Macaca mulatta: one gene and its partner. The protein of the gene in region 1 purifies or fractionates together with the protein of each later gene. This does not show direct contact. Links are inferred from orthologs where the notes say so. Each region holds a gene or a part of one and is shown on either strand. Other genes may lie near its edges. The genes, in order: TDRD3 and FMR1.

The links.
Region 2: the proteins of TDRD3 (region 1) and FMR1 purify together in Homo sapiens (affinity purification with mass spectrometry; 4 studies listed by BioGRID and IntAct, with this or other methods). This does not show direct contact. The link is inferred for Macaca mulatta from reciprocal best matches to the Homo sapiens genes TDRD3 and FMR1.

The regions. Positions count from the first base shown.
Region 1 is NC_133422.1:39,997,185-40,001,012, reverse strand, and holds part of TDRD3 (tudor domain-containing protein 3), read right to left. Parts: intron 3,346-3,828; coding exon 3,189-3,345; intron 2,170-3,188; coding exon 2,044-2,169; intron 1-2,043. UniProt on the Homo sapiens protein: Scaffolding protein that specifically recognizes and binds dimethylarginine-containing proteins. Plays a role in the regulation of translation of target mRNAs by binding Arg/Gly-rich motifs (GAR) in dimethylarginine-containing proteins.
Region 2 is NC_133426.1:154,197,365-154,201,192, forward strand, and holds part of FMR1 (fragile X messenger ribonucleoprotein 1), read left to right. Parts: intron 1-540; coding exon 541-650; intron 651-1,496; coding exon 1,497-1,631; intron 1,632-2,124; coding exon 2,125-2,187; intron 2,188-3,828.

The DNA of each region.
Region 1 (3,828 bases):
AGACATGGAGTCAAAGGAGATCATTTTGGAGCTTTTAAGATTTGACTAACAGCTGGATTTCAGACTTGCATGGGGCCTGTAGCCCCTTTGTTTTAGCCAATTTCTCCCATTTGGAATGGCTGTATTTACCCAATGCCTGTACCCCCATTGTATCTAGGAAGTAACTAACTTGCTTTTGATTTTTCAGGCTCTTAGGCAGAAGAGATTTGCCTTGTCTCAGATGAGACTGGACTTTTAAGTTAATGCTGAAATGAGTTAAGATTTTGGGTGACTGTTGTGAAGGCATGATTGGTTTTGAAATGTGAGGACATGATATTTGGGAGGGGCCAGGAGTGGAATGATATGTTTTGGTTGTATCCCCACCCAAATCTCATCTTGAATTCCAACAAGTTGTGGGAGGGACCCAGTGGGAGGCAATTAAATCATGGAGGTAGGTCTTTCCTGTGCTGTTTTCGTGATAGTGAATAAGTCTCATGAGATCTGATGGCTTTATAGAGTTTCTCTGAACAAGCTCTCTCTTTGCCTGCTGCCATCTATGTAAGATGTGACTTGCTCCTCCTTGCCTTCCACAATGATTGTGAGGCTTCCCCAGCCACGTAGAATTGTAAATCCAATACACCCTTTTTCCTGTATAAATTACCCAGTCTCGGTTGTGTCTTTATCAGCAGCTTGAAAACAAACTAATACAGGAGTCAAAAGCAAATGTAAGGGGATAGGAGGATGAAAGGAAATCAAGAGTTCTCAGTGGGACAGTATGAAGAGAGGTTGGGACAAAAATACTCATTAAGTCAGAGTCAGGAAAAAGAAAGATCTGAAGCAGCAGCAGAGACTCTGTTGCTGGCTTTGCAGAAGCAAACAATATGTAAATTGCCTATGGGGTGGCCCATGTGGCAACAATCTGAAGGCAGCTTTTAGGAGACAAAGCAGTCTCCAGGCAACACCAAGCAAAAACAGGACCTCAGTCTTGCATCCACAAGGAAATGAAATTCTGCAAGAACTGGTGAGCCTGTAAGAGGACCTCAAGTCTCTGATAAGATCACCACTCCAACCAAAATCTTAACATCAGCATCTGAGACTTTAAACAGAGGCCCCAGTGAAGCTGTGCCTAGACTCCTGACACAAAGAAACTATAAGGTAATAAAGTTGCATTGTTTTAAGCCACTAACTTTGTGGTAATTTGTTACACAGCAACAGAAAACTAATACATCATGCTTACAAATCTTGCCCACGTCAAACTTTGTTTTCTCAAATGCTACACTGCCTTTTCTATATAATCTAGCAAACATGCTTCAATTTTTATGAAATCTGAACATTTCACATTGGTTACAAAAGCATTTTATCTATGAGCTTATTTGGCTAGATAATTCATATCTAGCTTATTTGGCTAGATATATTCAAAATATATCTGAATGATAAATTGAATTTAAAAGCATATTTCCTTAACTTTTTGGATCGTATTTTAAAAACTTATCATTTTAGAAAATATTTAATATATTATGTGCTTAGAAAAAGGCTGCATATTACCATACTTAGTTCTCTTTTCAATATGTCAATCACTAAAGTATATAAAAAAAAATCACATTGTGAAAGCATTTTCACTCACTGTGTGAATGTTTTCAAACTATGTAATATGGGGTGAAAGAAGAGATATACCAATTTCACAATCAAAATGTTATATAAGATTATATAATAAATTTTCCAAAACAACAATCTGTTTACATAGTTATATCTGTCATCTAGATACGAGCAAATTAGGGAAAAATAGTTTGGTGAGATTACTAATCCCAGTTAGGGGGCAAAATAAGCTGCCATTATGTTTTCAGAATATAACATTTTCTTCTGTGCTTTTGTCAAGCAGGAATTTGTAATTAAGTAAATTTATAAATAAACAATCAGGATATATGTTCATATTATAGTTGCTTTATTATACAGTTCCAAATAAAGTTTGGTCTCTTATAAAGAATACACTAAAAAAAAAAAAAACCACACACACACACACACAGAAAGAAAAAAAGAAAAATAATCGACTTTAAATTAGCCTACCTTCCACATTCAAAGTTCCCATTTTAGATTCCAAGAAATCAAATAATGTGCTTGGTGCTGATGGCCTTGCATTTCCCAGGTCCTCTTCATCTTCAGATCTTATTCGTCCCCTGCCTTTTCCTCTACCTTTAGATGTAAAAGCAAGAAATATGTACTATATATGCAAAAACAAAAAGAATATATACTAACATATAACCAAAAATTTTAAATAGGGATTTTAATTTCTTTCCATATTTTTTGTATAGTCTACATCTTTTCAGTAATTTTTTAAAGTTTTTTAAGTAATTATATTAAGTAGCACATTTAATCCTCTAAATAAATCATCTATTCAGAAGTCTGAATTTGTTTATATAAACTATCTTCTAAGTAAAAATTATAATTTATTCTTCAACCACAGACATTTTAAAAATAATATAGGACTGGGACTTGAAAAACCACATAATAAACTTGACCATGCAATGATTAAAGAATAATACCAAGGCCGGGCGCGGTGGCTCATGCCTGTAATCCCAGCACTTTGGGAGGCTGAGATGGGCCGATCACGAGGTCAGGAGATGGAGACCATCCTGGCGAACATGGTGAAACCCCATCTCTACTAAAAATACAAAAAAATTAGCCAGGTGTGGTGGCAGGCGCCTGTAGTCCCAGCTACTCGGGAGGCTGAGGCAGAATGGCATGAACCCAGGAGGTAGAGCTTGCAGTGAGCCAAGATCGCGCCACTACACTCCAGCCTGGGTGACAGAGTGAGATTCCATCTAAAAAATAATAATAATAATAATATCACCAAGTAAATGTAATATTTTTGTTAATTTTTAAAAGCTTAGTCATTCTCAGGTGGCAGAGTTCTAGAAATAATAGAACCAGTCACATATTTTCTCTGTTATTCATAACAACCTTGTTAAATAAGTCATTGTTAGACCCACTTTGTTTTTGTTTTGTTGTTGTTGTTAGACCCATTTTGTACAAAGATGAAGACAACGAGACTGGGACTACAAATGTCTCTGTGGTTCCCAAACTGGTGTTCCTTCCACTTACCATAACGTTAAATAAAATTACAGCCCTCACAGCTAACAGCCTCTGTCAATAACAAATATTCATCTAAAAAGCAAACAATACTATCTGGCACACTGTTTAATAAATTATACCTCTCAGAGGAGGACCCATAACAGGTTTCTGTTTATTGCTTGTAAGAAGCACGTTCAATGCTGCTTCTAAGTTGTTGCCATTATCCATAAGAGCTTGCCTGGATGCTTCCTTACTGAAGCCCATTTCTGTTATGTGCTTCAGAGCTTTCTCATCAACCTGGAAGGAATAAAGAGAAAAGCTGGTTGGTAGCCCACACATAAGGCAATGCATAAACTTTTAACTATTTGCAGTCTTAACTAAAAATTACATCTCATACTTATGTAAAAATGTCATTCTAATACAACAGTCTCTTGCTGATTTTTTACAAGAGGCAAGGAAGAATCTGTATGATATGTGGGGTTGTGCCTTGAGTATTCTCTGACCTCACAAGTAACACTGCAAAAGCACAAAAAAGAAATTTTATGGTATGTTAGAGTATGGCCTTTGAAAATAATATAGACAGTGAGGAGAAAACTACCTAATGAAACTTTTCCATGGTAAAAAATGGAAATTTTTTGATACTTCTCCATACTAGAAGAGAAATGTAATTCATACAGCACCTCTCCAAAAATGTAAAGTATTGAAGCTAACAAAATGATACCCCCCAGTAGCTTTTTTTTTTTAAACTATTACTTGAGTATTCTATATTCATTAGCAATA
Region 2 (3,828 bases), on another chromosome or scaffold:
TAAGCCACTTTCGAACTTAGATTATCTTTTATAAATGTGCCTTCCATACAGAATTCTGAAAATACCATGGACAAAGAAGCAGATTTAAATCAGGTACAGATAAGAATGGAAAGTATTGAATAAGTGAATATATTTCCCATTATCTCTCCTTTTTTCTTAATTCTTTTTATAGAACTTTGCAGAAAGAATGATACATACCACAGTACCAGCAAGTTTAAAGCGTACCCTTTTGTGCAAAAATGAGAGGCTATCTTTGAACTGCCTTAAAAATTCAAAATTACCCAATCAGTTTGCAAGCATTAATCAACTCTGGTACCTGACCAAAGGAGTTTAAACAATGATGTCCTAATGAAACAGAAAACCAGATTAACCATCTTGTTGAAAAGAGTCTCTACTTTGGTTTTGAAATCTTACAATTCAATACGTACACATACACATAAAAATGTCTATCTATATGAATGTCATAGTTTACAGTAGGGCTGTGCTTACTGCTTTAAGGTATGTGTTTTTAAAACCAAACTTTATTTATTTATTTCTTAGGCAAAGTAATAGGAAAAAACGGAAAGCTGATTCAGGAGATTGTGGATAAGTCAGGAGTTGTGAGGGTGAGGATTGAGGCTGAAAATGAGAAAAATGTTCCACAAGAAGAGGTATGTTCCAGTACAAATACTTTGTGGCTTGTCTAATAGTAAAAGTTTTTTTTATGTGATATGTTGAAGACCTCTAATATGTGCATAAAGTAAATGCAAATATTCTGATTATCAAGCATGCCTGCTGTAATTAATGTCATAGTTGTAGATAATGGCCCCTCTCTGTACTCTAATGCTGTGAGTTTGGATTAGTCACTTTATTGAATTCCTTTTTCCTAATCTTTAAAATGGGTAGTTATAAATTTTTAAATATGAGACATACATCACTGGGTTGAGTGTTAATAACAATTTAGTAAAATAATATATATATATAAATGCTTTTTAAAGCACTTTGTAAATGTTAATGTTGCTGACAAAGGCAAAATTGGAACGTAGGTTTTCTGGCTTTTATCTTTTCACTTTTTTAGTTTGGGGATTGTGTAGTATATGTGTTTATTCTGTGTGCTTTAAATTTATTTCTGTGCTTAATATCTCTTCCCCATCCTCCTTACCTTTAAATTCTATAACCCTTTTATCTTCATAAATATATGCTTTTTGTAGCAGCTTTTAAAGTATTTGCATGGGGTAGAGAGGTGAGGATGCACCTTTCTGTGCAATAGTACTCTTAAGATACTGTCTCCTCAAAGAGCCATAATTTTCACATATTGTCTAGCTTTCTTTTTGAAAGATTCTTTTAGCTAAAGTCAAATCTTTTTTTCTGTATATAATTTGTATTCTGTAATTTTATAAACCAAAACTGTTTATAATTTACATCTTTAAAAAATATGATTGATAACATTAATAGAGCTAAATAAAGTTTTAAATTGGCCCTTTTTTTCTTTTTTGTGTTTTCTGTTTTTTACCAAGGAAATTATGCCACCAAATTCCCTTCCTTCCAATAATTCAAGGGTTGGACCTAATGCCCCAGAAGAAAAAAAACATTTAGATATAAAGGAAAACAGCACCCATTTTTCTCAACCTAACAGTACAAAAGTCCAGAGGGTAAGAATTACTTGTCACTTTGAATTACAATAAAAGAAATTTGTCTCAGATGTCACAATTGGTATTTTGGGTTTTTTCTCTGGTTAGACTTGTAGGCTACTGATGTTCTATTTTTTTTTTTTTCAAATGTGATTGCCAGTTTATGAGATACTACATATTAATGTGATACATACTTTTCAATTTATTCACAGTGACAAATCTTATGCTGTAAACACAGAATAATGGGGTTGCATTTAGTGGTCACATTTTTCTTTTGACAGTGGGCTTTTTTCCATGCCTTCTTTCTTTAAATTTTCCAGGTATTGTAGCTCAAAATACACCTTCTGTTAGATGCATTAGTTACTACTTAAAACCATATTTTAGAAACTAATTTTCTGAACTAATCTATTTAGAAATCGGTTTAAAAGTCCTGCAGTGAAAGTCCTGCGTTCAGGCTTCTGTGTATCATTTGTTATAGTTAATGACATCCCTTGCATTCCTTATACTGCTTTAGGTGTTAGTGGCTTCATCAGTTGTAGCAGGGGAATCCCAGAAACCTGAACTCAAGGCTTGGCAGGTAGGAGAACATTCCTTGAGAAGTACACTTTCAGTTTATATTTTAATGTTTATTCCCCTTGTTAAGAAAGATTACAAAAGATCATCAGGATTAGGGACTGGAGGGAGGAGTGTTTGTGGGTATGTGGATCCATTGCCCCGGAGTTAAAGCTTAAACACCTTCATGCCGCTTGTAAGGCTTTTCCCAGTTACTTGTCCAGTATCATGTCTAAATTATCTTCTCCCTTGCACTCTAGAGACGCTTAAGCCATACTGAAGTACTTTGAGTTCTCTGAACATTCTCATGCTTATGTTGCTTCTAGACGTATGTAGAGGTTTACTCTGCCTGGAACGCTTTTTCTCCTCCACTTGTCACTTCATTTTGACTTTATTCCTTACAAAGCTTTCCTTGTGTACTTGCCAAAGATCCCCACCGCCATGGCTGGTTCAAGAGCCTTCCCCTTCTGTTTTGCAATGTGCTCAGCCCTAGCATAGCACTTAAACATAGATGTTTATTTGTTGATCTCCTCAACCACATTGTAAGTTCCTTGAGGGCAGGGAGAGCTCGTGAGAACTGTTTATGGAAAAAATGTTGTGAACTCATGGATTAAAAGCAAAGGTGCCATTTTACAAAGAGAACTATAACGGCAAGTAGATTGGATATGTCTCATTACCGGGCAGCCCATTATCCCAGAACAAGGAGGAACTTTTTTCTGGTGTCCATATTGAAGGCCATCAGTCAATTCTTGCCTTTCTTCATTTTAATTTACTATTCAGGTCTACTCGTGAAGTGCTTAAATTAGAGTGGCCCTTGGGGTACTCCAACAGTTTAAACGTTGCAAGAAAAGATATTCGTAAATAATTTGCTCCAAAGTCAATCTAACTAAATCTATTACATAGGATTTTAAAGCTTAGTTTGGTGATGTTTGACCCAGAGGGAAGGGTGTAGCATTCATTCCATCACATGGTATTTTGGGAAATAATACAGTTAAAGGCTTTGTAACAAATAAAGCTTGTTGGAGAAACACCCAACATGCAGAAATGAATTGCCAGTTAATAATTTGCACAATTGTGTCTAGGTTTCGCTATAACTTGTGACAAGAAGTCGTTTTTTTTCCCTCATTTTATATATATATATATATATATATATGGGCTAGGAGTACAGACATTTAGCATATGCCTTTTAAAAATCTGTTCTTATATTAAGTAGTGTCCATAGAGAGAAGTTCAAACTTCCCTTGTGATTCAGCCTTTTAAAATTTTCTGAGTACATTATTGAACTGTGTATGGGCTTAATAAAACTTAACGCTTGTCAGTGTACCTATTTTTTTTGTCTCACAGATTATTCAGTGCATTTTTATCCTGATGTTTTTGTTTGTATTTTGTGTGTACTGTTTTACTTGGTTAGCAGAAATGATTTACTTTTTACTTTTGTACCCTTGGTATTTCATTTTGATTTTTTTAAAGAATTTGATCGGCCAGGTGCAGTGGCTCATGCCTGTAATCCCAACACTTTGGGAGGCCAAGGCAGGCAGATCGCCTGAGCCCAGGAGTTCGAGACCAACTTGGGCAATGTGGCGATACCCCTTCTCTACAAAAAATACAAAAATTAGCTGGGTATGGTGGCATGCACGTGTAGTCCCAGCTATTCAGGAGGCTGAGG